Arabidopsis thaliana: one gene and its partners. The protein of the gene in region 3 interacts with the protein of the main gene of each other region in a pairwise test. Each region holds a gene or a part of one and is shown on either strand. Other genes may lie near its edges. The genes, in order: AGP27, ANNAT1, PROT1 and MHX.

What was found.
Region 1: the proteins of PROT1 (region 3) and AGP27 interact in a protein complementation assay, tested with the Arabidopsis thaliana proteins (one large-scale study listed by BioGRID).
Region 2: the proteins of PROT1 (region 3) and ANNAT1 interact in a protein complementation assay, tested with the Arabidopsis thaliana proteins (one large-scale study listed by BioGRID).
Region 4: the proteins of PROT1 (region 3) and MHX interact in a protein complementation assay, tested with the Arabidopsis thaliana proteins (one large-scale study listed by BioGRID).

Annotation. Positions count from the first base shown.
Region 1 is NC_003074.8:1,927,250-1,933,624, forward strand, and holds AGP27 (arabinogalactan protein 27), read left to right. Parts: upstream 1-1,618; 5' UTR 1,619-1,726; coding exon 1,727-2,104; 3' UTR 2,105-2,435; downstream 2,436-6,375. Other genes in the region: MEE32 (dehydroquinate dehydratase, putative / shikimate dehydrogenase), read right to left, coding at 231-452; NHX4 (sodium hydrogen exchanger 4), read right to left, coding at 3,589-3,951, 4,052-4,135, 4,234-4,435, 4,510-4,611, 4,705-4,805, 4,885-4,951, 5,044-5,090, 5,157-5,351 and 5 more. UniProt on the Arabidopsis thaliana protein: Proteoglycan that seems to be implicated in diverse developmental roles such as differentiation, cell-cell recognition, embryogenesis and programmed cell death.
Region 2 is NC_003070.9:13,221,192-13,229,005, forward strand, and holds ANNAT1 (annexin 1), read left to right. Parts: upstream 1-3,976; 5' UTR 3,977-4,112; coding exon 4,113-4,188; intron 4,189-4,784; coding exon 4,785-4,930; intron 4,931-5,016; coding exon 5,017-5,748; 3' UTR 5,749-6,048; downstream 6,049-7,814. Other genes in the region: AT1G35710 (kinase family with leucine-rich repeat domain-containing protein), read left to right, coding at 1-2,824, 2,909-3,195; PUM9 (pumilio 9), read right to left, coding at 6,133-6,237, 6,311-6,560, 6,639-6,802, 6,953-7,115, 7,593-7,814.
Region 3 is NC_003071.7:16,651,801-16,660,497, reverse strand, and holds PROT1 (proline transporter 1), read right to left. Parts: upstream 4,922-8,697; 5' UTR 4,477-4,921; coding exon 4,377-4,476; intron 4,151-4,376; exon of another isoform or gene 4,006-4,150; coding exon 3,781-4,005; intron 3,703-3,780; coding exon 3,608-3,702; intron 3,527-3,607; coding exon 3,337-3,526; intron 3,243-3,336; coding exon 3,118-3,242; intron 2,974-3,117; coding exon 2,758-2,973; intron 2,674-2,757; coding exon 2,296-2,673; 3' UTR 2,086-2,295; downstream 1-2,085. Other genes in the region: WLIM2a (GATA type zinc finger transcription factor family protein), read right to left, coding at 231-470, 681-770, 855-892, 984-1,083, 1,228-1,362.
Region 4 is NC_003071.7:19,521,762-19,530,718, reverse strand, and holds MHX (magnesium/proton exchanger), read left to right. Parts: upstream 1-3,138; 5' UTR 3,139-3,407; intron 3,408-3,823; 5' UTR 3,824-3,890; coding exon 3,891-4,281; intron 4,282-4,367; coding exon 4,368-4,543; intron 4,544-4,634; coding exon 4,635-4,753; intron 4,754-4,844; coding exon 4,845-5,017; intron 5,018-5,165; coding exon 5,166-5,281; intron 5,282-5,399; coding exon 5,400-5,616; intron 5,617-5,703; coding exon 5,704-5,833; intron 5,834-5,903; coding exon 5,904-6,201; 3' UTR 6,202-6,602; downstream 6,603-8,957. Other genes in the region: AT2G47610 (Ribosomal protein L7Ae/L30e/S12e/Gadd45 family protein), read right to left, coding at 1-14, 173-374, 494-538, 863-865; PHR2 (photolyase/blue-light receptor 2), read right to left, coding at 6,987-7,068, 7,164-7,229, 7,324-7,565, 7,878-8,831.

The DNA of each region.
Region 1 (6,375 bases), on a different chromosome or scaffold from region 3:
CACAATCAATTAAAAATCCAACTACTTCTCAGAACTAAACAAAAATTCTGAAGATCGATTCTAAATAGCTAAACCAATGTTGTACACGAAACATCAAAGTCTTCATCCAAAACTAATACCAAATTTATTTGAAGCGATAAATCTGCAAATTCATCATTACCTATCCTTCTCCAATAAAAACGGAACAGAAAACAACAAAAGAAAACTGAACTAAAGGAAGAATCACTAACATAGACATTGCTAGGTTCCATGCTTCGCCGGCGCCTTTGATCGGAAAATACCACCGGAAACGGTACACTCCTTAGCCGCGGGGACGAAGAATCGGCAAAGAAGCGAGTGGAGAAATCGGCGGCTGGAAAACGGAGATTGGCGACGGAGGTAGGTGAAAGTCGGGGTTTGGAGAGTAGACGAGGAGGGTTGGTGAGACGAGCATTAGTTGAAGAAGCTGCCATTGAGAGGCGACAAACAACAACGACCCTTTGCGGCTTTTTTTCACAACTTTTATTGGATTTCTAAATTTTGGTATTTTTAACGTTTTTATACGCTAAAAAATGGTAGGTGAAGTTTCGATTAGGCGCAAAAAAAAATTATTTATATCTCCTTTTCATTTTCTGATATTGACAATTATATATGTTTGTTTAAATCATCAAGAGAAAATTCGTTATCTGTAATCTGAAGTTAAGAATTATAGCAGAACAAATGACATCAACAATATGTGATTTTGTTCACACAAAAAAGAAAGTCAAACAAATAGAGGTCAGCAAGTTCTTGAGTCTTTAACTACACTGGTGGCCATTGTTGGGCATGCAATGTAGAAAACTCAGCACGTTTTGCACTACAATAGTGGGCTGCGTTTTTTGGGCCCATAGGAAGCCTCTTTAGTGGGCTCGAATTGCATAGCAAACTAAAGAACAATAAATAATAAATAATAATAATAATTCCCACACACCACAAAGCTTTTCTTAACTCGCCAATAAACTTTAGTACAAAAGACAACAAAATATTTGTTTAGGAACAACCCAATATAAAATGTGCTTTTTATTTGAACATCCAACGAGGCAACAACAAACGTAATTAGACCATCTCCATTGAAGGTATTTCATAAGAGTTTTTCACAATTAAAAAAATAAAAATAATGAAAATGAAGGAGAGAAAATGTAGAAAGTTTCTCACTTGAAAAATTTTGAGATATTCTCTACAACCCATCATGACAATTCTCATCTCACTATTGATTCAATTTTTTAACAAAATTACTTTTTTAATCAAATAATTAAATTATAATATAATATTAATATTTTTTTTGTTTTAGAAACTTTGTAGGTTTCTCATGGATGGAGATGCCTTTACTCGTACTTAGCAATATGTATAATTTGCATTAACATAATATTTTTCAGCAAAAAGTAAAGCACATGTTTATTCGAAAATATGTGCAATATATAAGAGCTTCTACTAAAAAGTGAAAACTCGATCTACGCCCATCTTCAAGAATTCAGCAAATATATTTTCTTTTCCACCGAACACATCCTTTAAATTGATAAATAATAATCTTTTTGGAAAAAGGTGAGACAAATTCCATTTAAAATCAATTTATAATATTTTACTATTAGAGCTAAAAGTTTTCTTTTATAGAGACAGTATCATTATTACAACACAAAATGCGCTCTCATCAGTTAAGGAAAAAAACAACTCAGCTTTGATTTGTTCATCATTACAGTAACCAAAAAAGATGGCTTCATCTATATTGCTAACACTCATCACCTTCATCTTTCTCTCCTCACTTTCTCTCTCTTCGCCGACGACAAATACAATCCCATCTTCGCAAACAATCTCTCCCTCTGAAGAAAAGATCTCACCGGAGATCGCTCCTCTCCTCCCTTCACCCGCCGTCTCCTCCACTCAAACCATCCCTTCTTCTTCAACACTTCCTGAACCAGAAAACGACGACGTTTCCGCAGATCCTGATCCCGCCTTCGCTCCATCGGCTTCTCCTCCGGCTTCATCTCTTGCTTCTCTGTCTTCTCAAGCTCCCGGAGTTTTCATCTACTTTGTCTTCGCCGCCGTCTATTGTTTCTCGCTCCGGCTTCTTGCCGTTTCAGCTATATAGGTCATTCATATATTTTAGACCACGTACGTCATTATTTTCATGAGTTTATTTGTCCCCTAAAAATAACGAATAAAATTAGATTTAGTTTGATTTTCAATTTTTTTTTACTATTTGTATTTTTTATTGTTCTCCACTTAACATTTTGTTACAGTTTTAGATTGGTTTAGATGAAAAACGCAAGTAATATATTACGTCAGAACCACATAATTGATGCATAATTAACTTAAGAACTCTGGATAAAAATAAAAATAAAAACTAATTTACCGTTAAGTGATTCAATACACTTTGAGGACTTATACTTTTCTCTTCTTTTCATTTCATTTGTTCGTTTACTATACACTAACTTTTTTTTTTTTTTTTATCGCTAAGCTAAAGAACCTTTTGAAAAAGTTGAAATTACGTTTCAAATTAAAGTGACGTCATATGCATGCTTTACAGTATACTGCAGTTTATAGTAGTATCAAAATCAAACGTTCCAAAAATTTGTACTGTTTACATGCAAATAACACTTGAGTAATTATATGTAGACTACTAATTAATTTCGACATAAGTTTATGTAAAACACCAGTTTTTTATGATTATTTTTGTCTTAATCTTGAGACGTGTTTATGAACTGAATGAATGTATTACTTTGTGAATTAACGTATTTAAGTATAGTGCATTATTGCATAATTCCTAAAATGCCACAAGGTTAGAGGCGCATGCATGTGAGTTACTGCATATGCTGGCCTCACGGCTAAAAGCAACAACAAAAAAAGGTGCCTTCTTTTCTTGTCCCACACTTTATCTTATTTCTGGGGTTTCAAAGTCTCAATATTAAAATTAATAATATCTAGGTGAGAAGAAATATGTAAAGGACGTTTCTTGTTTTCACATTATAGGGTTTTATGCGTGAAAGATTGTATATGTTACTATAAGGTTGATTGATACCCACTCACTTTGTCCTTATATACGTGCAAGCATAAAAATAAGATTAGATTTCTCAAAAGTTATATTTATATATAAGTTATCAGTTTATTTGTATATTGTCAACAAGTTTCTTGCAAAACCCAGTAATAAATTATGAACATTAGAAAGATTCGTGTCCCTTTGTTTTGTATAAGAAGTACAAGAAAGTGTACACAAACTTTAGATTAAAAAATCTGCTCACGTCCCACCAACGCAAACTCGAATCTCCAAACGCAGACGCTAACGTCTGCATATGAGCTAGGTGTACTCAAGTCACCCCTATATCAGTCCCTATTTACATGGACAGTTACAATTTTTCAACAAAACCACAAACTCAAACAACGAAAAACGGACCGGCTTTACAAAATCACACCACAAACCAAAAAATCACACCGGGCAAATAAGAACTCACATCCAAAACCATTATACCAAAACTGGAGGCAAAAAATTAGAGCCGGCCCATGTTGCGTCTGCGTCCAACAACGCCAAAAAACGCGATCAACAAGTCAAAGATCTTACTCATGTCATTATGGTCATCAAGGTTCGCCGTTTTGTTCCTTGTTTTCTACTTCTTCACTCCATTGCGGAACACTATTCTCAATGGGTGAACCTGGAACTACTGGTGAAACGCCTCGGCCACCAAATATGCGACGCATAACTGCGTTATCGAATTTCCTCCAGTAATGATGAATGGCCCTGGACGGAGATTTCCAGAACATTCTGAAGCTAACATGTTGTTCAGGGTCGTATTCTGACTGGCCTTGGGTACTGAGCAACGGCTCATGGAGGATCGGATCGTGGAAAGAAGATCTTAGTGTGATCTGCAGCGCGGTCGTGGAGGACTGTTTTGATGAAGGCTGCAAATGTTTGACTAACGGTTTGGTTAGCAATCCAAACACCTGCAAAAAAGGTTAGAGATTAGGTTACGTGTTGGATAGGCTAAACCCGATTTGACTTCAGTAGGAAGCAAACCGGTTTGAACAAAGTGTTGAAACGTACCACAGTACTGAAAAGAACAACAGTGATGGTACTGGTGATCATGATAGCGTTCCCAAGAACCTTGGTGTGTCCTGAAGTTGTGAACTATGATGTAACAGAGAGAAGAGATTAAGTCATGGGAACTTATTAAAACCCAAAGATCACTTTTTTATCTTTGTTTCTTGTAGTTCACGGATCAAAACCTGGTTATAAGCAAGAGCCATTGACACTGCACCACGCATCAGACCAGCCCACCAAATGGTTACTTGTTTCTTTAAGTCTATTTTCTCATCCGGTGAAGACTTTGTTAAATTGGACAAGAAGGAAAGTGGAAACACGAACGCGGCGCGACCCAGAAGAATAAGCCCAAGAAGTATTGAACTAACTCCAATCGACTGACCAGGACTGCCAAAATTGTTAAACAATATTATGAAAATGAAACAAAAGATATTGATGTATTATCACACTCTAAGTCTCACCTGTTGCGTACAACGTCCCATTTCTCGATATCGAGAGCGTCCATTCCAACGTAAAGGAAGATAAAAATCTCAGCTAGAAATGACATTGCAGCAAAAGTATGTCTACGCCAAGAAAACGTATACAGTTTAGTCAATCAAGCACAACAAATTAGTAGAGTTATTTTCTAATTATTGGGAGAAGAAAAAGAAACTTACTTTGTAGTGACCTTGGATTTATCTGTAACATTGTGCCATGTATAGTGAGACATAACAATCCCGCAGAAGAACACAGTCAAGATAGAGCTCAAGTGGAATAGCTGCAAAGGATATATGTATCATGTTTTCATTTTCTGTTGGAAAAAATGTAACCAAAACGTTTCAAATTTTTCTTATTACCTCTGCCAACATATATGATAAGTAAGCCAATAGCATCATAAGTGCAACTTCACGATCAGTAGAGTGCCTGATGTTACAAAACAAAACAAAAACAAAGCAAAAGGATTATTAAAGAAAGGGTAAAATCACATTTTTAACCATCAGTAGATACGAATATACCTTCCTATATAGAGCTTCTTGATAACAAAAGCACTGAGCAATCCAGCCTAAAAGAAAACGAGTGAGAATTTTTCGGGTTTAGAAATTTGAGGAGCGGAGAGAAAGAAACTTACTGCAACACCAAGTGCTGTGCTTAAGATAAAGAGGTAAAAAAAGTTTCCAGCAAACTCCAAAGCTATGGCTGAATTGATATTTGTGAGGTCGAATCTCTGTATTGCATTGAAGAGCACGACCGATGTGGCATCGTTCACTACACCTTCTCCAAAGACAAGACTGTACAAGAGAGGTGTCTCGTCTTGATTAAGCACCTAGATTTAACAAAGCGTGCAAGTTAATTTTTGATTAGAAAATGTAGTAGAATAATATCTTTGAATGTTTCAGAAAAAAAGTTCTTACTTGCAAGGTGCAAACAGAGTCTGTAGCAGAGAATATTGCTCCAATGGCTGCAAAATCATCAGTACAGATTTAAACAGTATGAGACTTAATGAATAAGAACTTGAAAAGGGTTTTCTTTGTTTCAGGGTACCTAGATAGTCCGCAATGGTAAGATCACCGATATTCATTTTCTCGAAAAGATGTTTAGCACCTAGCCATAACAAAAACAAAACCGGAAACATCATCAAAATATATGAGACTCATGATATTGAAATGTGGGAGTTGATTGAGATTGGTTTTTTACCAAATGAGATGATAACAAATGAAATGAGAGTTCCAATAGCACCAAATAACATAATGGTCATGAAGTTGCGAAAAAATTGCTTCTTCTTAACCTGAAACCTGTAACAAAAAAATGTGTTACTCAATTCCGACTTTCAATTTTTCATGAAATTCTATATAAAAAGAACTTACCCTGCGTTGAATATAATTGGTGGAAGAAGATAAATAAAGAAGAGATCTTCACTAAACACAAGAATCCTTGAGCTTTTGCCTCCACTTATAAGCAAGATCACAATCCCAGTACACGAACCCTATTTTTGCGTAATCCAAATTTAGAATGTTTCTAAGCAATGTGTTTAAAGATTTGGGGAAACAAAAAAAACGAAGCTTACAATGATAAGAGCAGTGATTGACTCGTTCATCCACCGAGTCTCCTCAAGCAAGTGACCAAGCACGATGCAAGCACAAAGCAAAGCTACGAACAAATTCATGGAGACGACCGATGCATGATCAGAAGCGAAAAGAGCCTCTGTTTTTTCCAGCATTGTGCTTAATCCGATCACCATTTCCAAATCTCAGCTTTAAGAGTATATTTCCTATATATATGTAAAAAAACACGAAGCGTGATTTGTGGAATTTAGATTTCTGATTGAATTAGTATCTAAAATTGTATAG
Region 2 (7,814 bases), on a different chromosome or scaffold from region 3:
ACTAACACTGGTATAGAAGGTACTTTCCAAGATTTCCCCTTCATTTCTCTCTCAAACCTTGCTTACGTAGATCTTAGCATGAACCTTTTATCTGGAACCATCCCTCCTCAATTCGGAAACCTCTCTAAACTCATCTACTTTGACCTCTCCACAAATCACTTAACCGGAGAAATCTCTCCTTCCTTAGGAAATCTCAAGAACTTGACGGTACTTTATCTTCACCAAAACTATCTAACTAGTGTCATTCCCTCGGAACTAGGCAACATGGAATCCATGACAGATTTAGCGCTAAGTCAGAACAAACTTACCGGTTCAATTCCTTCTTCCTTAGGAAATCTCAAGAACTTGATGGTTCTTTATCTTTACGAGAACTATCTAACTGGTGTCATTCCCCCGGAACTAGGTAACATGGAATCCATGACAGATTTAGCTTTAAGTCAGAACAAACTTACCGGTTCAATTCCTTCTACCTTAGGAAATCTCAAGAACTTGATGGTTCTTTATCTTTACGAGAACTATCTAACTGGTGTCATTCCCCCAGAAATAGGCAACATGGAATCCATGACAAATTTAGCGCTAAGTCAGAACAAACTTACTGGTTCAATTCCTTCTTCCTTAGGTAATCTCAAGAACTTGACGCTTCTTTCTCTTTTCCAGAACTATCTAACTGGTGGCATTCCCCCGAAACTAGGCAACATAGAATCCATGATCGATTTAGAGTTGAGTAACAACAAACTTACCGGTTCAATTCCTTCTTCCTTAGGAAATCTCAAGAATTTGACTATTCTTTATCTTTACGAGAACTATTTAACTGGTGTCATTCCCCCGGAACTAGGCAACATGGAATCGATGATTGATTTACAGTTGAATAACAACAAACTTACCGGTTCAATTCCTTCTTCCTTCGGAAATCTCAAGAACTTGACGTATCTTTATCTTTACCTGAATTATTTAACTGGTGTCATTCCCCAGGAGCTAGGCAACATGGAATCCATGATCAATTTAGATTTAAGTCAGAACAAACTTACAGGTTCTGTTCCTGATTCCTTTGGTAACTTTACCAAGCTGGAAAGTTTGTACCTTCGTGTTAACCACCTCTCTGGTGCGATCCCGCCAGGAGTAGCAAACTCTTCACATCTAACTACCTTGATACTTGACACCAACAACTTCACTGGTTTCTTTCCTGAAACTGTTTGCAAAGGTAGGAAGCTTCAAAATATCTCATTGGATTACAATCACCTCGAAGGTCCTATCCCGAAAAGCTTGAGAGATTGCAAGAGCCTGATCAGAGCAAGATTTCTAGGAAACAAATTCACTGGCGATATTTTTGAAGCTTTTGGGATTTACCCAGACCTTAACTTCATTGATTTCAGCCACAACAAATTCCACGGTGAGATTTCTAGCAACTGGGAGAAGAGTCCAAAGCTAGGTGCCTTGATCATGTCAAACAACAACATCACGGGTGCTATCCCAACAGAGATTTGGAACATGACACAACTAGTTGAGCTGGATCTATCTACCAACAACCTCTTTGGTGAACTTCCAGAAGCAATTGGAAATCTCACGAATTTGTCGAGGCTACGACTTAATGGGAATCAGTTATCTGGAAGAGTTCCTGCAGGTTTAAGTTTCTTAACCAATCTTGAGTCTCTTGACTTATCCTCAAACAATTTCAGCTCAGAGATCCCACAAACCTTTGACTCCTTTTTAAAGCTTCATGACATGAACCTGAGCAGAAACAAATTCGACGGAAGCATTCCCCGACTATCAAAGCTGACTCAGTTAACGCAACTTGATCTCAGCCACAACCAGCTCGACGGAGAAATCCCATCACAACTAAGCTCCCTGCAAAGCCTCGACAAGCTCGACCTCTCACACAACAATCTCTCAGGTCTCATTCCAACAACTTTCGAGGGCATGATAGCGCTGACGAACGTCGATATATCAAACAATAAACTCGAAGGTCCGCTTCCAGATACTCCAACGTTTCGAAAAGCAACAGCAGATGCATTGGAGGAAAACATAGGCTTATGCAGTAATATTCCTAAACAAAGATTGAAACCATGCCGTGAGTTGAAGAAACCGAAGAAAAATGGCAACCTTGTTGTGTGGATATTAGTGCCAATCCTAGGAGTACTCGTCATTCTCTCTATATGTGCAAACACATTCACCTACTGCATTCGGAAACGAAAACTACAAAATGGAAGAAACACAGATCCTGAAACAGGAGAGAATATGTCCATATTCAGCGTTGATGGCAAATTCAAATACCAAGATATCATCGAATCAACAAACGAATTCGATCCAACACACCTCATCGGAACCGGAGGATACAGCAAAGTCTACAGAGCAAACCTCCAAGATACAATCATAGCCGTTAAACGACTACATGACACAATAGACGAAGAGATATCAAAGCCAGTTGTGAAGCAAGAGTTCCTAAACGAGGTAAAAGCATTAACAGAGATCCGTCACCGCAACGTTGTGAAGCTCTTCGGCTTCTGCTCCCACCGCCGCCACACATTTCTGATCTACGAGTACATGGAAAAAGGAAGTTTAAACAAACTCTTAGCCAACGACGAAGAAGCTAAGCGACTCACTTGGACCAAAAGGATCAACGTCGTGAAAGGTGTGGCTCACGCTTTATCGTATATGCACCATGACCGAATAACACCGATCGTTCACCGTGATATTAGCAGCGGAAACATCCTTCTCGATAACGATTACACAGCTAAGATCTCCGATTTTGGTACAGCAAAACTTCTAAAGACGGATTCATCAAACTGGTCCGCCGTTGCTGGAACCTACGGCTACGTTGCACCAGGTAAATCTAAATCCCTAAATCTGATTTTGAGCTTATGAAATTTAAATCACTAAATTCGAAATTGAACTTGATTTTTCGCAACAGAGTTTGCTTACACGATGAAGGTGACGGAGAAATGCGATGTGTATAGCTTCGGGGTTTTGATACTCGAATTGATAATTGGGAAACATCCGGGAGATTTGGTATCGAGTTTGTCTTCGTCTCCAGGAGAAGCTCTGTCGCTAAGAAGCATTTCCGATGAACGTGTATTAGAACCACGGGGACAAAATAGAGAGAAGCTCTTGAAGATGGTGGAAATGGCTTTATTGTGTTTACAAGCAAATCCAGAATCTCGGCCAACGATGTTGTCAATCTCCACTACATTTTCTTAGAAACTGAACTTCTCCATCAATTTCTATGTTATCATTGTGTTTATCTATACAGCAACAGTAATCTCTGTTGGCTTTTGTTCTCTGTTCTTGCTTGTGTTTGCAGGAAGGGGTGTCGACTCTCGTTTCAGCTTTTGTTGTTGTTGTTTGGGCTTCTCGGCCTGCTTCAGCTTTTGTATGTATTGGGCTGCGCCCTTGTTGGTCTTTGGGCCTTGTTTGTTTTTATCTTTGCGGCTTGCGTGCCATGTTAGGCCTTTTGGTCTTGTAATGTGTTTGGTTAATGGAAATCTATGAAGTTAAAAAAATGAAAAAAAAAAAAAAAAAAAAAAAACTGTTAAAAGCATTTTTAGATAATGGTCATTGTGTTACTCCTCACATATGAACATTCAAATAAAGTTTTGGATACTGTCTATCTGTATATCGCCAGAATTAGTAAGAGATTTCTTATGCATAGTAGGAGATTAAAAAAAAAAATGCATAGTAGGAGATTTGTAAAGAAAGAAATAAGTTTTTTTTTGTATAATGAGTTCTAATGGACATCACGTTTGCAAGTGATAATAAAAAAATCTTACACTCTTGTACTCTGTAACGTGTTAAAATAATACAAAATGGATTATAATAACGAAATCTAAACACTTATAATCTTGCGGATGATTTTGTGACAACCAATGAAACCGTTAATGCGAGATTACGATAGTTTTTTATGAAATCATGATTTGTGCATAAAGTTAAGCAAATGCTAAATAATTCATAAAGTGTAAGAAACACGTGGCAGAAGAATTAATAATTCGTTTGGGATATTTTTGGTATATACGGACAGGCCACGTCGTGTCCTAAACCTCTTAGCCTTTCCCTTTATAAGTCAATCTTGTGTCGGCTTCGACTCCCAACATACACAAAACACTAAAAGTAGAAGAAAAATGGCGACTCTTAAGGTTTCTGATTCTGTTCCTGCTCCTTCTGATGATGCTGAGCAATTGAGAACCGCTTTTGAAGGTATAATAGTTTCATGATTCTTCTTGTTACGTTCTCTGTTTTTGTTACCTTCTTGTTTACATGATCAGTATCCACTTTTTGTAAAAGTGATGTGAATCTGTTGGTTTTCGTTTGGTGGGTTATTGTATGATCATTTGTTTTGATTGTTTTTCATGTGGATCGATCTTTGTTTTGGTCCGATGATATGAATGTTGTGTCGGTAGCGTTTTATGATCATTTGTACGATGATGTAGATCGAGATTGTTCCTTCATGGATCGGATCAGTGACAATGATCTCCTTTCTTTGTGTGATCTATAACAATCTTTTGTGTTAGTGATGAAGTTTTGATTGTCTGATCATGTTGATAATGACAATGATTACATTCACACGAGATCTTGATTGAGTTGTGTTTTGATTCTCACTGTCACAGATCTGTCTTCTTAGTCTAGATCTATAATGTAGTTACGTGTAATACAACACTAAGATCTTAAGATTTATATTTTGTGAATCTGTTTGACCGGTTCTGTTATTATGGATCTGAAGTGTGTGTGACTTGGATCTGAAGTATGTGACTTTGATGGTTATGTAAAGTGAATCTGATTCGTGTTTTTCGCAGGATGGGGTACGAACGAGGACTTGATCATATCAATCTTGGCTCACAGAAGTGCTGAACAGAGGAAAGTCATCAGGCAAGCATACCACGAAACCTACGGCGAAGACCTTCTCAAGACTCTTGACAAGGAGCTCTCTAACGATTTCGAGGTTCGGTTTTCGGACTTTTAAGTATCGACTTTTAAACATCTTGTGTGAAGTCATTGTATTCTAATTGGTTTTTTGGTCATGGACAGAGAGCTATCTTGTTGTGGACTCTTGAACCCGGTGAGCGTGATGCTTTATTGGCTAATGAAGCTACAAAAAGATGGACTTCAAGCAACCAAGTTCTTATGGAAGTTGCTTGCACAAGGACATCAACGCAGCTGCTTCACGCTAGGCAAGCTTACCATGCTCGCTACAAGAAGTCTCTTGAAGAGGACGTTGCTCACCACACTACCGGTGACTTCAGAAAGCTTTTGGTTTCTCTTGTTACCTCATACAGGTACGAAGGAGATGAAGTGAACATGACATTGGCTAAGCAAGAAGCTAAGCTGGTCCATGAGAAAATCAAGGACAAGCACTACAATGATGAGGATGTTATTAGAATCTTGTCCACAAGAAGCAAAGCTCAGATCAATGCTACTTTTAACCGTTACCAAGATGATCATGGCGAGGAAATTCTCAAGAGTCTTGAGGAAGGAGATGATGATGACAAGTTCCTTGCACTTTTGAGGTCAACCATTCAGTGCTTGACAAGACCAGAGCTTTACTTTGTCGATGTTCTTCGTTCAGCAATCAACAAAACTGGAACTGATGAAGGAGCACTCACTAGAATTGTGACCACAAGAGCTGAGATTGACTTGAAGGTCATTGGAGAGGAGTACCAGCGCAGGAACAGCATTCCTTTGGAGAAAGCTATTACCAAAGACACTCGTGGAGATTACGAGAAGATGCTCGTCGCACTTCTCGGTGAAGATGATGCTTAATCAATCAATCCTCCACAGAGAAACATAAGCTGCTCTACAGCTTCTGTTATCTCTTATCTCCCTCTCTCTCTCTTTGATGAGTTTCAAATCGTTTGATTTTGTTTCTACAAAAACCTTGTTTGTTTCTGTTGTGTGTTTTGAGTTCCTAAATAATGCAAAAGAGAGAGACAGAGAGAACCAGTGTGGTCTCTTAAGTTATATATATATGAAGAGCATTGGCCTAAAACACAGACTAACAAGTAGTTCTGGTTTTGACAAAAGTTGTTGTCACTACAAAAAGGGAGACCAACAACAAAAAAGTTAAGGGCATTGTTTTCTCTAAAGCCCTATCCGATCTTGAAACACAAAATAACAACAACAACATTTTTTAGTTACTAATCAAAGTCACTTCTTCAAGATGGTCTTGGAGAAAATCTTCTTGCAGTAAGGGCTCGAGTGTAGTTTCCCGTACCTGTAAACCTTCGCCACCAATTTAGCACGAACAGGTCCCTGCATCAACCCCAAAAGCCATGTCAAGTTCTGTTTCTAAAAGCTTATAACATATGTATTGATTTGGACTTACTTTGGTTACAGAGAGAGCAGTTTGGATCACATAGTTCGCATAAGGATCTTGCAGAAGATATTCAAAGTTTGGAACACAGAGGAGCTCACGGACGATCTCAGCTCGACTCTCTGGATACTTCCTTAGACACTTCTCAATCACGTGGCTACTAAACTTCTGAGTAGCTAACTCGGCGTAGTGCATTCTAAACTGAACCAGCAACTTCACTGCAGAAACTTGTTGATCTATTAAGTACTGCACCACATAGTTCCTGCCAAATTTCATTAACTATAAGGAGAGTTTTTCAAACTATACCAAATCTTTAAGTCTAAGTGGAGACTAAATTTACCCAAAAGGATCCTGAGAAAGGTGAAGCGAGTTTCTTGATATCTCAGCGACGAGTCTTTCACGTTGCAGTCCAACAGAGTTTGAAATGCAGCATTGAAGAACACAGCATCCGTGTCGATGAATAGCAATCTCAGCACAGTACTTAGTAGCAGCTTCTAACACAAACTGACACCAAAATTCACAACATTAATCAGATCTTAAGTAAGAAACAAAAACAACAGTCTCAGCACATTACTTTGTAGCTGCTTCCAACTCAAACTAACACCAAATTTCACAACATTCACGAAAGCTTGAGTATGAAACAAAAGATGTAACCTCATTGTCATTAGGGCCAAGGGTTTGCAAGCAACTCTGTATCACATGGTTCCCATTCAGATCTTTGACAAGAGCAAGAAACCCCGGTTTGAGACCTGACTTCACCAATGCAATCTGCTGTTTTGTTTTCACAGTTTCAATCATCTTCTGCACAACCCTTGTCCTGTTTAAATTCAAAAACACATTATCCACAAATCAGAATTCAAAAACATATTATCCACAAATCAAAACCAGCAAATTTCTATGCTTTTGGCCAAAAGTTCTCAGCCTTTTGTAATCAGAAGTAAGCGGATTTAGAGGGTTTTGCCCAAAGGTCTCAGCTTTTTTTTTCTCTCTTCCTGAAGCAAGCAGTTTTGGTTTGTCCAAAAACAGCAAAAAGTAAAAATAAAAATTCATTCTTTTCTACCAAATGTTGCATTCTTTTAGTGATAGACTGATAGTGATGGCTACAAAACTAATGCAGAGATTTCAAATATTTCCATAAACAGAAAAGATTTCATCTTCCCCAAAAAAACAAGAAAGATCTCATCTTAATCCTCAAAAGCTGAAATGTCTCCATCTCTATTGAGCTCGTGGACTTGTTGACTAAACTAATGAATCAAATTTACTAAAAGTTGATAAAAAAAAAGGTGAAGCTTACCCATAAGTGTTAAGACAGATTCTGATAAGCTCCCTTGGATTTGACGTTAACACACTCACAATCAACGTCCTCTGTTCCTCATCACTCACATCAAACAGCTTCTGAACAATGTAATTCCCAAAAGGATCCATGGAAAGTTCAACGACATGGTCAATGATTGCAAGTAATATAACCTTAGCTTCATGAAATGTTCCTTCTTCGACCAGTTTCTGCAAAACTCTG
Region 3 (8,697 bases):
AACGATAGAGATTTGTCCGGTCTAACATTCCGGTTCGGTCCAGCTCAAAAGACCAAGATCAAAGCCAAAAGTCCTCGGTTATTATAGATGTAGTAGTATCACAAACAAGAAACTCAGAGAAAACTGGGAGAATTTTATGCCTGGTTCAATTATGGAAGACAAAGAACATGAATCATATCGAATACATGTAAACAACACAGCACATACACAAAAATAAAGAGAATTTGAATTCAAGATTCGGGAACGGCTGCTACAGCTGCAGCAGCTGCGGTAGCAGCAGCAGTAGCGCGTTTGATGGAAGCAGATTTGATGAGATGATTGTAACTTCCTTTCTCCTTGAAAAGCTGAGCGAAATGGTGCTTGCAGTACAATATTCCCTCTAGAGCTGCATAGTTCGATGGAGATATCGGACAGCCTCCATGAGAACACTTGAAGCAAGATTTATGGTAACACTGGCTTTCCACAGTTACCTACAATTTTTAGAAAACAGAACAATGAGATATAAGAATTGACTGTATTAAAGAGATCTCAACTTTATGTGATTCGGATCCATGTAACTCATATTGCAAATGATCCAAATAAGTTTAACTGTGATTTTCTTGACAACAATCACAGAGAGAACACAAAAGTGTATTGGAAAGCAATGGTAATGACATATACAAGCTTAAATGTATACTAACCTTTTCGATAGGATACACGGTTTTAGTGCAAGTAGCGCATTTGTCTTGCGTTCCAGAGAACATACCAGCAAGTCGACTAGGTGTCCTATTCTGAGAACAACCAAGAAGAGAAATAGAGTCATGTATCTCAAGTCGTGTAACTAAATAAAAACATCGTTGTTAAGAAGCGTTTACCAGCTCCGGGGTTGGCTTATCAGTCAATGGCTTTGCAGCTGTGAAAGGAAAAAAAAAGTTTGAAGATTAAAATTAAAGTGACCACATGTAAAAGCTGGACCAGAAGGTGAAGAAAAGAGTTTTACATACGTGACTGAAAGTTCTTGCTGAAACTACCAGACTCCTTGAAAAGCTGCTCAAAATGAGGCCTACAATACACCACTCCTTCCATTGATGAATAATTGCTCAGCTGTTCAGAAACCATCAACACGTTTTAACTTTATCACTTTAACGAAGACCAATTCAGATCAAGTATCTCTCTAGCTAAATATCTAAATGAAACTCTCAAAACACTAATAACTACATTTAGGAAAGGCAAAAGAGGAAAACTGACTTGAAGTCTGCTTTTGCAGTGAGAGCATTTGAAGCAAGCCTTGTGATAAGAGATTCCATCAGCTGAGAGAAGCTCCACAGGGTACACTGTCTTCTCGCACGCCCTGCATTTCTGCTGAGTTCCTGTAAACGACATCGTTTTTGAGATCTTCTTTCTACCTCCAAAGATCTCTCAGCTCAAACCTTCTTCCTCTGTAACAACAACATTTCAAAACCCAACAACACAAAGAGGTTTAACAAAAAAAACTACATTAACACATTCTTGACTTTTCACATTAGCCATTTGCATCAGTTCAAACAAATCAATCCATGGATCCATAACCACATATTTTGATTCAATCAGTACACAAAAATCGAATCTTTTTCTACAAGCATTGCAAAAAAAAATCTGATTTTTAACAGAATAAAATCGTTAAGAACTAACAAACGGCAAAATGGTTACCTCTTCGTCGATCTGATCAAATGAGATATCAAAAAAAGAAACCCAAAATTGAGAAGAGAGAAATGCAGGTTGAAATTGGAGCTGAGAATAAAAAGAGAGAATCAAAGAAGTCGCTGCGTGAAGATGAAGATGAAGAAGAAAGGTAATGATTACGGAGCACGATTGATAAAAAATATCTAACGCTTTCGTTTTTTTTTTTTTATCTAGAGCTTTGGTGGAGACAGTGGGGTTCCACTTTGGCCTGTCTAAATTATTGTTATAATTTCAAATTAAACAGCTAATCATTGAAAGATTAGGTTTTTGTTAAACCAACAACAATTCTGTTTCTTCTCTTCTCTATCTCACTAAATTAAGGTTTTTTTAAGTTAGGTGTTTTTATGTTCTTCTCTAATACTATGATTTACATTTCTAATAGAGACTTTAATCATGCAACTTAGTATTCTTTGTTGGTAAATTTTCAGAATGATTATGATGAAAGTGGTCTTTTATATGCTTTTTAGATTTTAGAACTTGATTTATTTATTTAGGCTCTAATGGTAAGACAAATAGAGAGAGAATACAAGCTTACAGGAGAAATAAACCTGCCTAAGAATAAAGGATACACAATTGACTATATAATATAATGAATTACAAATCTGCAAAAACATGGAAATTTTTGGAATCAACGGCGATGAGTCTGACAGCTGCAATGGCTGCAGCAACAGACATCAAACTAAAGAAGACAACGTTAAGCCAATGCCATAGCTTTTGCATAGCATTCAGCTTATTGTTCTTTGCCTTATAGTACATGTGGTTGGCTAGAATGAATGTGAGAGGGAATGTGCTCACTGCACCAGTTAGGCTCATGAAGTCACCGAGGAACGGCAACAGCGCTGAGATAAGCGTGCTTACCGCTATGTACCCGCCTCTCGCCATGATCCTAAACAGCAGGTTCTTTATCGCAAATGGGTTTCCTTTGATCCCATACTTTGTGTCCATGTACTCATATGTTGGACTCGCAAATATCTACAACAAAGAATTGAGTCAGACATATAGTTAGAGACGACAGTCTTTGTTAAAAAAGCGTAGACTTGGCGCTAAGAAACTTACGTGCAAAGAGATAACAGATTGAAGGATAGCAGAGACGTTAGCAAGGGCTTTGACCCAGAGTGGGCCATTAACACTGTTTAGTAGATAGGTCGAGGTTGAGGATCCATAAGCCCAATATCCGATGAATGTAACTGCGTACATCGGTAAAACACCCGCTGTGAATTGAAAGTATAGAGCCTTCATCATGTTTTTAACAACTGGTTGCCTCACTGTTGCCTAACATTGTGGAAATTATAGTGTCAATATGATTAACAAACAAACTTTGTTTAAGATGCAGGTTTTACTTGAACAAAAGGTACACTAATACATAAAAGCAAACACAAACAAACAATTGAACTTTGAAGTCTAGGGAAAAGTCACCTGAATTTCTGGAAGCATCCCGGTGTTGAATGCGAAAACCAGATTTGCGGCTGCTCCTGTGATGGTAAAAAGTTTGCTCAATGATGATCCTTGTATCTCGTAATCTCTTGAAGGTGTTTTTACTCCTAGAAACAAACAAAACAAAGCAAGAATTAGATTTTTGCAGTAGTTAAACTCATTAGTAATGTTGAATCTTGATGATCATTTGATTAGTTATACCATCTCTAACCGATAGCACGATTGCCACAACAATATAGATGAGACTGAGGAAGGTCGAAACTCCAAGCCAGACCCCAAGAGCCGATAAATGAGGAATCCCAATAGCGAAAATCGCACAAATCAAACCAGCAATGGCTATAAAATGAGGTAGTTTCATGGTATGATCATCCCTGAAAAGCACATAAACAGCCTGCAGAAACAGAACACACAACCAAAATTAACTAACTCGTCTAACGAAATCAAGAATCAAGAGAAGAAAATGTTTTACTACCTTTAAGGCGGAACCAGCTAGGATAATGAATCCACAATTAATCATGAAAAGATTAACATATTGCAATCCCCATGTAAGATGATAAGCCTTCCTACCTGATAAAAAGAGAGATCATTCCAATGAAGGTAACAACAGAGAAGAGATTAAGAGAGCTGGTTTGGTCTTTTATTTACCGTAAATGAATCCAGCAAGGTCTCTATAGCGAATGTGTCTTCTGCCACCAAACTCATGAAGCTTAGCTATTAGAGTGTTTGCATAAAGAGAGATTGCAGTAGCAATAAGAAGACCAACCACACCACCAATCCAACCTAAAGGAACCATAATTGTTCCTGAATATCCCAACACATACGCGCTGTTTATACCGGTGGTCAAAACGAACGCCACCTGAAACCATGAATCTGCACATTCCACAAAACATAGTATAAGCTTCCCAAAACATGATCTCAGTTTATAGAAAGCAGAGTTTTGGCAAAGCAAGAAAATTTCCCAATCTTATGGTTCCAGGATCATTAAAGAAAACATTTTTTCAAAAGGGTCATCGTTAAAATCATCAAAGTCAACATTTTGAAGTAGTCAGATTCTACTTCTTCTTCCTGGTGATACCATTTTCATATTTTAATCAAAAAAAGCATTAAAGAAATTGAAATTGGGGAAACAATCTCCGTACATTTAAAAAAAACAAAACTTTTTTCGACACATCTAAGCAAACACATTCTTATCGAAACCAGATTGAAAAACAAAACAACAATTGGAACAGAGAAAAACAAACCGCTGCTAATTTGATGAGCAGTGTCAGGGATTTCGATATCAACAACGTCATCTCCATCTCCGACATTGATTTTGCGATTCTTAGCTTCGGTGGCGGTCATGTTTGCTAAGAGACTTTCTCTTTCTTCTTCGTCTTCTTCGTCTTCTTCGTCGACCACATGGAGAAATTTTGAGAAAGCCAGCTTTTATAATTTTTTTAACAAAAAAAATTCTCTTTTTTTAGCGAATTTTATCCTTCACTAATATCGAAACTTTTGATTGAAAGAAAAAGCGAGCCCAAGAATCCAGCTCGATTCGCAACTGATGTTAAACAAAACAAAAACAATCTAATTGATTAGAAATCGAATCGAAGAACAAAAGATTGATTCTTTTTCTTTTTTTTTGTAATTAGTGCTTCTTTCTTACTTGTGACAGAAATCTCTTTAAAAAATTGGTATTGGTGGGTCTGAGCCGTTGAGGTTTCTTGTCTGAATTTGTTGTTTTGCATGAGAGATCGATCCTATAAGAATGCCGATATTTTTATTTTTATACTATAAAAAAAAACAATTTATAATATAAAAAAACATATATCTGCCTTATTAATGTCTTTCCATTTATTTGAGTTTTTTCTTATTACTTTCTGTTAGCTGGTATTTTTGTCTAGTTGTGCTATTTTGAGTCTTTGCCAAGTTTTGCTTATTTTATTTGAATTCATCATTTCAAGAAGATATAATAATTTTGCTGACGAATAATAAATGAAAATGTACGTGAACTAGGGAAATATGGATTTTAAGTGAGAAAAAAACAAACTATTTTAGTACTAATTGTTTGTTTTGCAAACTGATTTTTTATTTAAAAATATGGAACCATCTAAACACATTAGATTTGTGTTGTTGTCGAAGCTACCTTGTTGAATGTTTGTAAGTGATGATCTTCTCAATCTTTACGATATTAATTTAGTTATATGTTATTCTCAAGCTACCAATTTTGGATACAGTTTTGTTTTCTTAATACTTTACCAAAATATATCTAGGTTGAGAAATACCCGATTTATATACGTTTGTACTTGGCTTTTATGGTTTTTCTTAGATTATTTATATAAGTTTGATATGGAGAAGGAAACACGTTAAGTAAAACTATTGATAGTGATTTGTTTTATAGTTTAAATAAAAGGTTAAGCTGATCGATATGCGTGGAAAACTTCTACATCACACTTAAAAAAAAAGTTTATACCTAAGTTAACATCTTACAGAATGTGCATCTTTAGTCTCTAGTCAAATGATAATGTCTTTGACTCTCGATCATTTAAAACTTCAATACATTCTCTTTTACACAATTTTAATATTTTTTTTTTATCTATAATAGAAAGTTCTTTTGCCTTTAGAAAATACAGTAAAGTTTAAAATTGATACTATGAGAAAAAATTACAGTTGGGATTTTCATCGAATTTATCGATATATTGTTTAATTTAATAGTACAACATATTCTAGAGAGCAAGTTGATTGGAGGCGGAGCCATGCAAGTTACAGTCTATTGGCTGAGGTTAATGGCAGAAGCCAGAAAGGACACAACTTCCTATAAATCTTAAACCATTTGGAAGTACCAACTCAGACTTTATACATCTCCAACTGTTCAAATTAATTAACGGATATGTTTTGAATCAATCTGTACATGATTGCATAATAAGTGACTTGTGTTTACTGAAATCATATGCCACTCACTGACCATGACACAAAACAAAATTCTTTGCAGAGAATATAATACAAATAGATTACCAATCAATAAAATAATTATAAATAAGTATTTAGATGTGGATATCGAGTTGTCGACTATAGTGAAGTTTCCTTTTCTTTAACAGTAGTTTTTGTTCCAAGTGGGGTTCTAGATGAATATTGTTTTTGAAGAAAAAAGAACATATTCATGACAATTTTAGATTGAGTTAAGTTCCAAAAAAAAGTTTTACATGGTTACAAAAGCCTGTATCATTTAAGGCAAAAATTGTGATTTGGCTAATATTACTGATATTGTATTGATCATACACTCGTGCAGTTGAGTTACCGCTTTAGATGTTGGTACTTGGTAGTAATATTAACATGCATAAAACAAACGTTCCTTTCTATATGATAGTTGAGAAATTACTTAGGAATAAGTATATCTCGTTTATACCCTAGATGCTGTGAAGTGCCTTAATAATGGACCATAAAGGAGTCTTACTGCTGTGGACGCAATTAGTTTCAAGGTCACTTCACAACAACAAAGTCTAGAATATTCTATAAGCAAACTTTGAATTACTTTTAACACCGAAAAGAAAGAGAAAGGAGAAAACATCTTTTGGACCATCTTTATTTTGGTAGGAATATAATTTGGTAAAAATTTGACTAACAAAAGTTTTATGAGTACAATTATTGATTGATATGATATGTAGATGCCAATCATTTTCATCTCAAACATTGTAATAAAACGTAATAAAAAAATTGCACACAAGAAAGTTTTGAATCAAGATGTGCATGAGGATGAATGGGTAATAGGTCATTATGGGATCTGAAAATATTGGGTTCGAAAAATTTGGGTTGTGCAAGTGAGGTATGATTGAGTCCTTGAAAGTCCATTCAAAACATTCTTTTACCGCTTCTCTGCCAGTTTCATTGGGTTGAAATAGTGTTTGACCCTCCCTCGCAACCATATGTTCAAGCTCAAGACATATGATTGATGTAGAGGCCACTTGAGCACTCTTAATTGCATCTGGCAGTAAATGAGGAGCACTCTCAAGACGAGTATCTGTCTACATATCCACGGGTTGTTCACATTTAGGAGCCACCCATCTCCACAGTCTTTATATTCCTATCCCATAGTCCATACTGGGCTTTTTAAGCTGAGCCCATGATTCTGTTTGTTTTTCTATTTTAATTCAGTTAGGTGTTTTGTGCTTTTCCTTCTTTTATAAATTTTTTAATTAATTTTATAACTTCATAAAAATGGGGAGAAAAATGATTGTACGAACGAATAGTAGGTAGAGATATGCATTTCGTATGTACGATATGCGTATCCATGTTTGCAAATAAATTTAGTCAACCATGGAATGGAACTAATGATGTTGTCCTCAAATTTATCTTGAGCTGCTATTTTCAAATAGTTGGATTTTACTAATTTGGAGTGTAAATAGATCGTTACAAAATATCGATTTTTAGTAATTAGAAAGAAAAAATGTGTAAAGGTGCTACAGACCTCCAAACACCCGATTAGAGCCAAGAAAGTATTTAACCATTGTATATAACAAACTGAGTATTTGAATTTGATTAGGGTAAGAGGTTAAATTGTTCTAAGTCCTACATTAACCAATAGATGTGTCCTTGTTTAGTCAAAGTTCTTTCTATTTTACGAGATCCAACGACTTGGGATTTGGGATTTCAAACTACCAAGTAAGCATGAAGTACATAGTCTCGAATGAACGTAATTTTAAGTTATACTACCATATATTTGGGGAAATAATTGATATGACATATATATATATATATATATATATATATACATATATTGAAAGAACAAAAGTTTTCGGAAATAGCCATGGATGTATTTCAGAGAAATTTTAAACTAACTTTAAAATGACGTCTTTCATAAAATATATAAATTTCATAAGCTAATTTTTAATTGGAAATTCGATCTCAAAATCCAATGAAGAAGAAAGCCAAAAAAAAACAGGTAGGTGACTTCTTCTTCTTTTTTGGTTTTGCATGATTAGGTCAAAATTCTTTGAAACTTACCTTTTAAAAAATGAAAATTGTAAGAAGAGAGTTCGTATACTGTTGTAGGCTTGAGATACAAGGTTGCGGAATCTTAAAGCCAGCAAAGTTCCCGGTGAAGTATCCATGATAGTTGAGAAATTTGCCATACGATCGAAGAGGAAGCTACCGAAGGATGAATCCAAAGAGATAGCATGATCCAAAACCAAGCAAATTTTTGTGATTTATTTGCCAATTATAAAGAAAATATGGGGAGAATTCACCTTAATTAGGATCAATGCGATCCCTTTGGATCCTTCCTCTAGTTGCTATGAAGAATTTGTTCAACTCTCTATCTCTCTCTCACTCTAAAAGTTGAGAGCAATGTGGTTTTTGTCAATGGATCGTGTTCCTCTTGATTTTAAATAATACTCATTTATCTTTTAGTTTCCACTTTCTGACCCTTCAAATTTATTTATTTATTTTTATATTATTTTCCAACTTTTGGTTTTCCATTTTTATATTGACTTATGGAGCTAGTAAACCAGACGTCTACGTTTCTGTACAAATTTTTGTATGGGCTCTTAATAAGTATAAACGGATTAGTGGTTATATGGTGATGAG
Region 4 (8,957 bases), 2.9 Mb from region 3:
GAAGAGGCTGGTAGCTGCAATTATCAATAACGAATATAAATAAGGCACCGAAGTCTTCTTATAAGGTTACAGCAACACAAGATTTACCAGAACTGGTAAATATTTCAATAATAAATTAACAGCAGCAAGTAGTAAATGTTTGAAGAGTAGATTGAGAATGAAATAGACATACCAAGATTCTTGTCAAGAGTCTTGGTGAATTGGTTAAGAGCTGGAGGGACCTTCAACCTCTGCTTCAGGATCCTCTTTTGCCTTTGAAGACGGATGGATTTGGGCCATTTGATGTAGCGAGAGAGATCCTTCTTAGGAGGTAAAGCTCCACCAATACCGAATTGCTTAGGCCTCCTCTCGAATAGAGGGTTTGAAACTTTCTCCTGGAGAAATCAGAAATCAAAACACAAAACTTCAGCAAGAAAGAAAAAAACAACAACAAAGAACAAATTGAATGTTCGAAAACCTAAAAAAGAAGAAGAGAATTGGAAATGAAACATACCGCGGTCTTCTTCTTAGCAGCTACCTTCACTCCTTTCTTCGGGGCCTAAAACCAAATCGTGGCGTGATTAGATTGATAAAGTAACCACAGAACATTTGTGACATTGCTCTCTACGCAAATTTCTAGATGGATTCATAAGCTATATCAACTACCAAATCTATCAAAAGCTAAATCCAAAGCAGATAAGCAATGATGGTGTTACCACCGAGAGGAAATCGAAACCCATGTGTGTTCATCTTCAAGCGAGAATGCATCCAGGAAACACTAACTCTATCGTGAAGGATCTAATTCGATGATTCTACTATGAAAGCAAACAACTAACAGATCCCAAATGAAACGAAATGAAGATGGAAGGAAGAGAGATGATACCATTGTCGTCGTCCAAAGCTCCAACTCCAAATGGTTTCTGCGAAAGGACGGCTGAGTCGAAGAGTATCGTTTTCTAGGGTTTTGCCTTTTATATATATACCATGTACATTGATAGGGCTTCTCTATTTTCTCTAATTAAAATAATAATTAAAAATTGCCAGCAAACCGTAATTACAAATATACCCTTATTAATCTTTCAATGTGTTACGGTCTTTTTAAACCGGTGGTTAACATGGCGGAAAAAATGAGAAAAAACCGGTTTAACATTTTCCACCAGTGATGAACTTTCTCAAAAGAGTTTATTATATACGAACCTAGCTACTAGCCAAAGTCTTACTTTTCTCAAAACCAAACGTTAATGAAACTACCATTTGATGTATACATATGGGTAGAAAACAAGCCACCGACACCTTTGTCACTCATTGGGTGAGCTCTTCCTAAAGAAGATGGTCTTTTCCAAATTCCAATTCAGCAGCATGTGTAGTAGTAGTTTCGTGGATCTGTATGTATTCTCGACCGCGGTTACAACTAACGATTTATAACTAAGGCGTTTTAGTTTTACGAATAGTATTTCGACCTCGTGTTATCGTTCCCATATGGGAGATTTATATCTTTCTCTATGAGATGTTTGTGAGACTGTATGATTTTGTACATTTGAGTTTTTGGAATTGTTTTCGTCAATTTAACAAAAATAATTGGTGACAACAAAAAAACTATCAGTCTTAGTAATATGTGACGTATTTCTTATCAAATTTAGATTGACCATGTAAAGAGTTTAGCAATTAAATCCAATTACATTGCTTGTGTACTTATTCATGTTGTAATAAATTGTAGATTTACAACTATGACAATCCTATATAACAGAACAAAAACAAATACGTATTTGAACTTTCTAGTTTACACTTTACACGAATTACACGTGATAAATAACAGGTAGATTTATGTCAATGTCATACATAGCCTAAATCAACTAAAAAGTAAACAATATAGTTCAAATGTATATATATACTAGATAAGGTCCGCCTATTTAGGCGGGTGTACCCGAAATTTTCAAATACTCGAACGGATATAAACTTTAAAACCCGAAAAACTCAAACCCAAACCCGAATAGGTATGCAAACATATCTCAAATATAAGTATATATTAGTTATATTTATACTTATATATAGAAAATATTAGAATTTTTTTGGATATTTTAGTTATTTTTGTGTATTTTTAGATATATTCAAGCAAAACTACTCATGTTGTTTTGGGAATTTTTGAAAATTTCAAGTAATTTAATAGATTTGCACACAAAATTTGATATTTCAATATATAAATAACTCGAACCCGAACCCGAACCCAAACCGAACCCGACCCGATAATATTTTTTTGTTTAAAAATACATACAACCAAAATCTTATTTCTACCCAATTTCTTTAAGTAATAATTATATTAATAAAACCTACAGTCTAATTTCTACAGCAATAAAACTTACAGCTACAGTCATCACACCTACAACAAAAATTCTACAGCAGTAAATCTACAGTTACAGACAAACCAATCACCCACGTAATCTCGTAAGTTAATTTTACATCATGCAAATTAATATTAAATGAGTTAAAATTAATAAATGAAAATAATTGAAAAGTTAAATCCTATAAGCTAAGCTATTTTTCTCAAAGTGTTCTATTTTCACTTATGATTACATGAGTTAAAGACAAATTTGTTAATTTTGCTTTTGTTGAATAAATGTTAATTGTTTATAAATATATAGACATATAAATTAGTATATGTAAATTTGTTTACTTTTTAAGATTTTCTATTTTTTTAAAGAATAAAAAAGTTAAATTTTGAATGACACATGTAAACATCTAATCGTTTGACTTGACACTGTGCCAAGTCAATTTTGAAAACCATACTTTATATAATAAGATATATATATATATATATATTTTTTGTCCTCATAGTTCAATTGTATATATCTCAATAATTTTTTTAATCAGAAAAAAACAAAATACATATATATCCACTAATTCTGATTTGATAATGCGTTCACACTTCATATTTATCATGTTTATCTTTTATAAAGAAAATAAATTAGTCAGGTCAGGTTTTTAGTAAGATATATGTTTATGATAATATCTAAACTCGAGGAGATGATAAAACTAATATTACTCAGGTTGAAATTAAAATCTAATGCTTATAAGGATGAAATGAAACAAAATTCAGGGAGTAAAAAGATATAAAAAAAACTTGCAATTGAGGTCTCATATTCTTAAACCTTACCAAAGAAAGGCGAGATTAATTAATCCTAGTTAGTCAAGTAAATCATCCAATTAGATAAGATCACGTGTCGGTCGATGTACGCTTGAATCCTCGTTTCGATACAATAATTGAAGTGTGTCATGCAGAGATTAGAGAGATGTGTATAAATGGCTCCCAAGTCTCCACCGCAATATCCAACGCTTGACCGATTCCAATCAGCTCCTCTCGATTTCCGTTTGTCGGAAAATCTCTCCCGTGATCGGCGTATTGTGAATGCCGCTCACCGAGATATTCTCCGGTACGTCCGCATTGATCAATTTCGTCGCGTGGCTCACTCTGTTTCATCTGTTCTTTTCTTATTTTTTAGCTATTTTTGTTGAGATTTGTTCGTTGAAAATTATGGTTTTGTGAAAAGAACCCAACTTGTTTTACTGAACCCATGATGAAAGTTATAATCTTTTGATCTGGTTACCTCTGGATTTTGATTACGCATACAGTGGAACATGCAATTGTTATTAGCATTGGTTATAGATTGGATTTCGGTTACATGCCATTGGATCCTTTGCAATGTTTAGTTTGTGTTACAGATTCTCTGGAAAGAAATCTTTTTGCATGTTCCGTTTGTTTCGCATCCTCTTGATACTGTTCGATCGATCAGGCTACAGGTTTCATCAGTTTCTTCTAAAAGTTGTAAGCTTCTTTTTGGTGTGCCAGATTCTTTTCCCCAGTGAGGACAAGTGTTCAGTTGACTTATTAGGAGGTGGGGTTTGAATAAGTTACAATGGCCTCAATTCTTAATCAAACCCAGGAGTTGCAAGAATCTTCTAAGGTTCTTGGGCATTTAAGATGTGAAAACTTCTTTCTATTCCCCGGAGAAAACACTTTGTCAGATGGTTTGAGGGGTGTGTTATATTTTCTCGGTCTTGCCTACTGCTTTATTGGGTTGTCAGCCATCACTGCACGGTTCTTCAAGTCTATGGAGAATGTCGTGAAACATTCCCGTAAAGTGGTTACAATTGATCCCATTACTAAAGCTGAAGTCATCACATACAAGAAAGTTTGGAACTTTACTATTGCAGACATCAGTTTGTTGGCGTTTGGAACTAGCTTCCCTCAGATTTCTTTGGCTACCATCGATGCAATACGGAATATGGGGGAGCGGTATGCTGGAGGTCTGGTGGTTGTTCCTTTCTTCCTTCCAAAACTCTAGTTTTTACTTTTAAGTTCATGAATTCTTATATCATGTTTTGTCATATAGGTCTTGGTCCTGGAACACTTGTTGGCTCAGCTGCATTTGATCTTTTCCCCATCCACGCTGTTTGTGTCGTTGTGCCAAAAGCTGGAGAACTGAAAAAGATATCCGACTTAGGTGTTTGGCTAGTTGAGCTCGTATGGTCTTTTTGGGCTTACATCTGGCTATACATAATCCTCGAGGTAACTGTGAAAAGCGGTTTAAACAGATTCTGTTGAGTCTATACTCTATACTGATAAGGTCTAAAAATCTGTTTCTTTTCACGTCTCACAGGTGTGGTCACCAAACGTAATTACACTTGTGGAGGCATTATTGACAGTACTGCAATACGGATTGCTTCTAGTTCATGCGTACGCCCAAGACAAGCGATGGCCTTACTTGTCTTTACCAATGTGGGTTTCTTTTCCAGACAATAATATTAGTTCCTTCAAAATGGATTTCTACTAAAGATTGTATCTTTGTGTTTGTATTTGATACTTGCAGGTCAAGAGGTGATAGGCCAGAGGAGTGGGTTCCAGAGGAGATTGATACATCCAAAGATGACAATGACAATGATGTTCATGATGTGTATTCGGATGCTGCTCAAGATGCTGTTGAATCGGGAAGCAGAAACATTGTTGATATCTTCTCTATTCATTCAGCTAACAATGATACAGGTACTAAGTATGATTAGGCTGTCTATTCTATTGATATAAGATCAGTTTTAGCGTATTTGCTTATTTCCAAATCTATGTGATTCCCATATTTATCTCTGGTAGTATATTGTTATAAATCAAACTTTCCCTGTAACAAACACTTTTGCAGGGATCACTTATCATACTGTGGCAGATACTCCACCCGATTCTGCGACTAAGAAGGGTAAGGCGAAGAATTCTACTGTTTTTGACATTTGGAAACATCAATTCGTGGATGCAATAACGGTAAAAATCTTCAACTTACCAAGTGTTTTCTAGATTCTTCTATATCCTATTTTGGGCTTTTGATCATTATCAACACATCTTTCTTAACTTGTTTCTCTTCCTATTCGTAATCAAACAGTTGGAAACATCAGAATCAAAGAAAGTGGATAGCATTTATCTTCGAATCGCGAAATCTTTCTGGCATTTACTCCTCGCCCCTTGGAAACTGCTTTTTGCATTTGTGCCCCCCTGCAACATTGCTCACGGTTGGATCGCTTTCATCTGCTCTCTCCTCTTCATCAGTGGAGTAGCCTTTGTTGTCACAAGATTTACTGACCTTATAAGCTGTGTCACTGGTACACACCCTCACCGCTTTCAAAAACTGAAGTTATAAGATTAAACATTTGAGCTCTAAAACATTAGAAACTCTTTTCATCTTGCAGGAATAAACCCATATGTGATAGCATTCACAGCACTCGCAAGTGGAACTTCATGGCCAGACTTAGTAGCAAGTAAAATCGCTGCAGAGCGACAACTAACCGCAGATTCAGCTATTGCAAACATCACCTGCAGGTAAAAATCTCAAAACCCTTTACAAACATTGAAGATCTTTTCATGATCTTTTTGGTGATAAATTATGCAGTAACTCGGTGAACATCTATGTGGGGATTGGAGTTCCGTGGCTGATAAACACAGTCTACAACTACTTTGCATACAGAGAGCCTTTATACATAGAAAACGCTAAAGGATTAAGCTTTTCGCTTCTGATATTCTTTGCGACATCAGTGGGATGTATCGTGGTGCTTGTGTTGAGAAGGTTGATTATAGGAGCTGAGCTTGGAGGTCCAAGGCTATGGGCTTGGCTTACTTCTGCCTATTTCATGATGCTTTGGGTCGTCTTCGTTGTTCTTTCTTCTTTGAAAGTTTCAGGCGTCATATAGAAGAAGCAACAAAAGGAAAAACCCCATGAGTAGAAGAAAAAGTCTTAGCTTACTTGCACATGTCTCAGTTTTTGTTTTTCTTACTTGTTAAGGGGGTTTTATATAATTATCAAAGTTCAAAGGCAGTTGGCTAAATATGTGTTGCAAATATAAATCATATTGACTATGATTTTGGAGGCTTCATCTCTAGTTAGGAGGTGCATATATGGAGTACATTTTCATTATCCTGCAGTTTTTTTTGTTTTTTTATTTGCAGTGTTACCAATTTGTGGTACATATATGCAAACTTTCTCTAAAGTCAAGCAAATAATCTTAGTCGATTAATATAAACTTTTATATGTAACTTTCATCCAAGTAACTAGTGTTTAGTACGGTTCTTTAATAAGTGTTGTAGAATTTCTAATGCCCATTTACCACGAAGTGCATATTCTAGTTGCTGCTTGCTTCTGATATTAGTGACATCTTAATATTCCTGAATTTAATATTCATAGACACAACTACTTCGGTTATTTTCTAAGATACATTCTCAAGTCTTAACCACAAAGGAGAGCGTCTCAAATTGTAGAGACTTTTTATGGAATGAGTATCCGAAATGTTTAGAACAGGGAACGGACAACTTGATTGAGCCAAAAAAAGAAGCTTAGATTTTATTCTCCTGACACTCAAGTTTCAAAAGAGAGCAGTAAAGTCCTGTCCGGATAGCAAATTAATCCACCATACACCAGAGTAGGGCAAAGAAACAGGTCGCTTCTAACTTTTCCGGTCACCTGAAAGTTTTCAAATGTTTAAGCAAAGGCACCGGTACAGGCTGTAGCCGGACCAGCCTCGACCTGCGTCTTCGCTGAGCTGTATTTCTTGGTTATAAACCTGTTCCAAGTTTAAACACACATCAAAGAGAGAATCAGACAAAATACAAATTCTACATTTCTACTAGGGGGCAAGTTAAGAAAGTAAGAGCTCACCTGAAGAAATCCCTCCATAGCAACTCATACATTAACCAGTTGAGTCCTGTATCTCCCGGTCCGTTCCTGAGAAAATCATTTCAAAGAATGATAATTAGACACATACACTTACTATGTTCACCAGAGTTTCCTGAAGTGTTTTGCGTTTCTGAGACATTACCTTGGAGTTGTGGAGGTGGTTGATGCGGAGATTGTTTTCTTCAGCTCATCGAACATGGAACGAGGAGAGATGCTTCCCATGGCTAACCAAGGTGATATCTTGCAAGAGAAGTTTGCACCAAAGACACTGTTGTTGCCTCCTTTCTGGTTTCCCTTGCTCAACCGAGCCTGACAATCCGCGGCAAAGCTCTTTAGTCTAGTCAACGCCTCTGTCTCTCCTCCAACCATTGTCGGTTTCCCCTCCTGAGCAGAACAAAATGTTAACTCCTAAGAGAAGGTGTAAGACAGTAAGAGCCGCAGACGAATATTGGACCTAAAGAGAAACGTTCATTGATCCTAAGAAGAATCCATGGACCTTCAAACAGCACTACTACTATTAACACTTGATAGTACTTATCCCTATCACTCTATGGGTAAGTAGCTCTTCTCCTATAGAAATGGAACCAATTGGCAGAGTTTGAATTATAAGTCCCACAAGTTTCCACCTTTTCTAAATGCCTAAACCTAGATGGATAAAGGAATCAATCAAGCTAAGCAAAGATGAAGAACTCAAACCTGGCTAGTCCTAGGAGTGGGGCTAATGCCAAGATCCAGGAGAGAAGGAATATCGCCAAGCTCAACGTCTCCTCGAGAGGGCAAGCTTTTCAATTGATCAAGCGCTGCGATAGTCTTCCTAATCTCCAATTTCTGGACTTTATCCTTGAAAGCTCCGTAATTTGACGGCAAGTCTTCAATTTTGAAGGGCAAATCATCCAAATGATAGAGAGTGCTTCCCCAGAAATACTTGACTTCAACGCCTTCCTCCTTCATCGCGGTCTCTATCTTCCCTTCCGCTTTAACCTCGTCGTGAGACACTTCTCTGTGAGCATAAACCGCGTCAGCTCCAATCTCCTTAGCCAATTCCACCAAAACAGCTTCAGGTTTCCCGACACGGACAACTAGATTCGACCCTCTGGCTTGGAGATTCTTCCGGAGCTCCGAAACGGACTCAATCAGAAACTGGGCACGAAAAGGCCCCGTTTTGTCGAAGCCGGAAGAGGACTTGCCGTAATCTCTAGGGTCGAAGCAGTAAACGGGCAAAACGGAGACGCACTCGTCGTTGGCGGAGTTGAGACACTCGTTGTCGTGGACACGGAGGTCATTGCGGAACCAGACGACAGCAGCACGGCGGAGAGCGGCGGCGGAGGAAGGATCAACGGGACGACGAGGGACGATGGAGAGAGGGGATTGAAGAGGGTTAGCAGCGATGGTGGATTTGAAAGAGATTCTGGAAGAAGGAAAAGGAGAGACAGAAGAAAGAGAGAGATGAGTGAGAGAAGAAGCCTGCGTAGGGATCTTAACCTTGTTTGGATGATGAGCAAACAATTTGAGAAATTGAGTCGAGGATGGGAACAAGGTCAGAGAAAGAGATGCGATTGGTAGAGAAGAATGGAAAATGGCAAGTGGGTTTTGTTCTTCTGCGGATTTTGTTTCTGGGTTTAGGTTTTCTTCAACATTCGAAGAATCCATTTTGTGTGTGTGTGTGTGTGTGTGTGTAGAGAGAAGAGAGTGAAGAAGAGTGTGAGATGAATTGATAAGCTCTCGTCGATTTTCCCCACACAATTTCTTCTGTTTAGATCAAATATTTTAATAAAA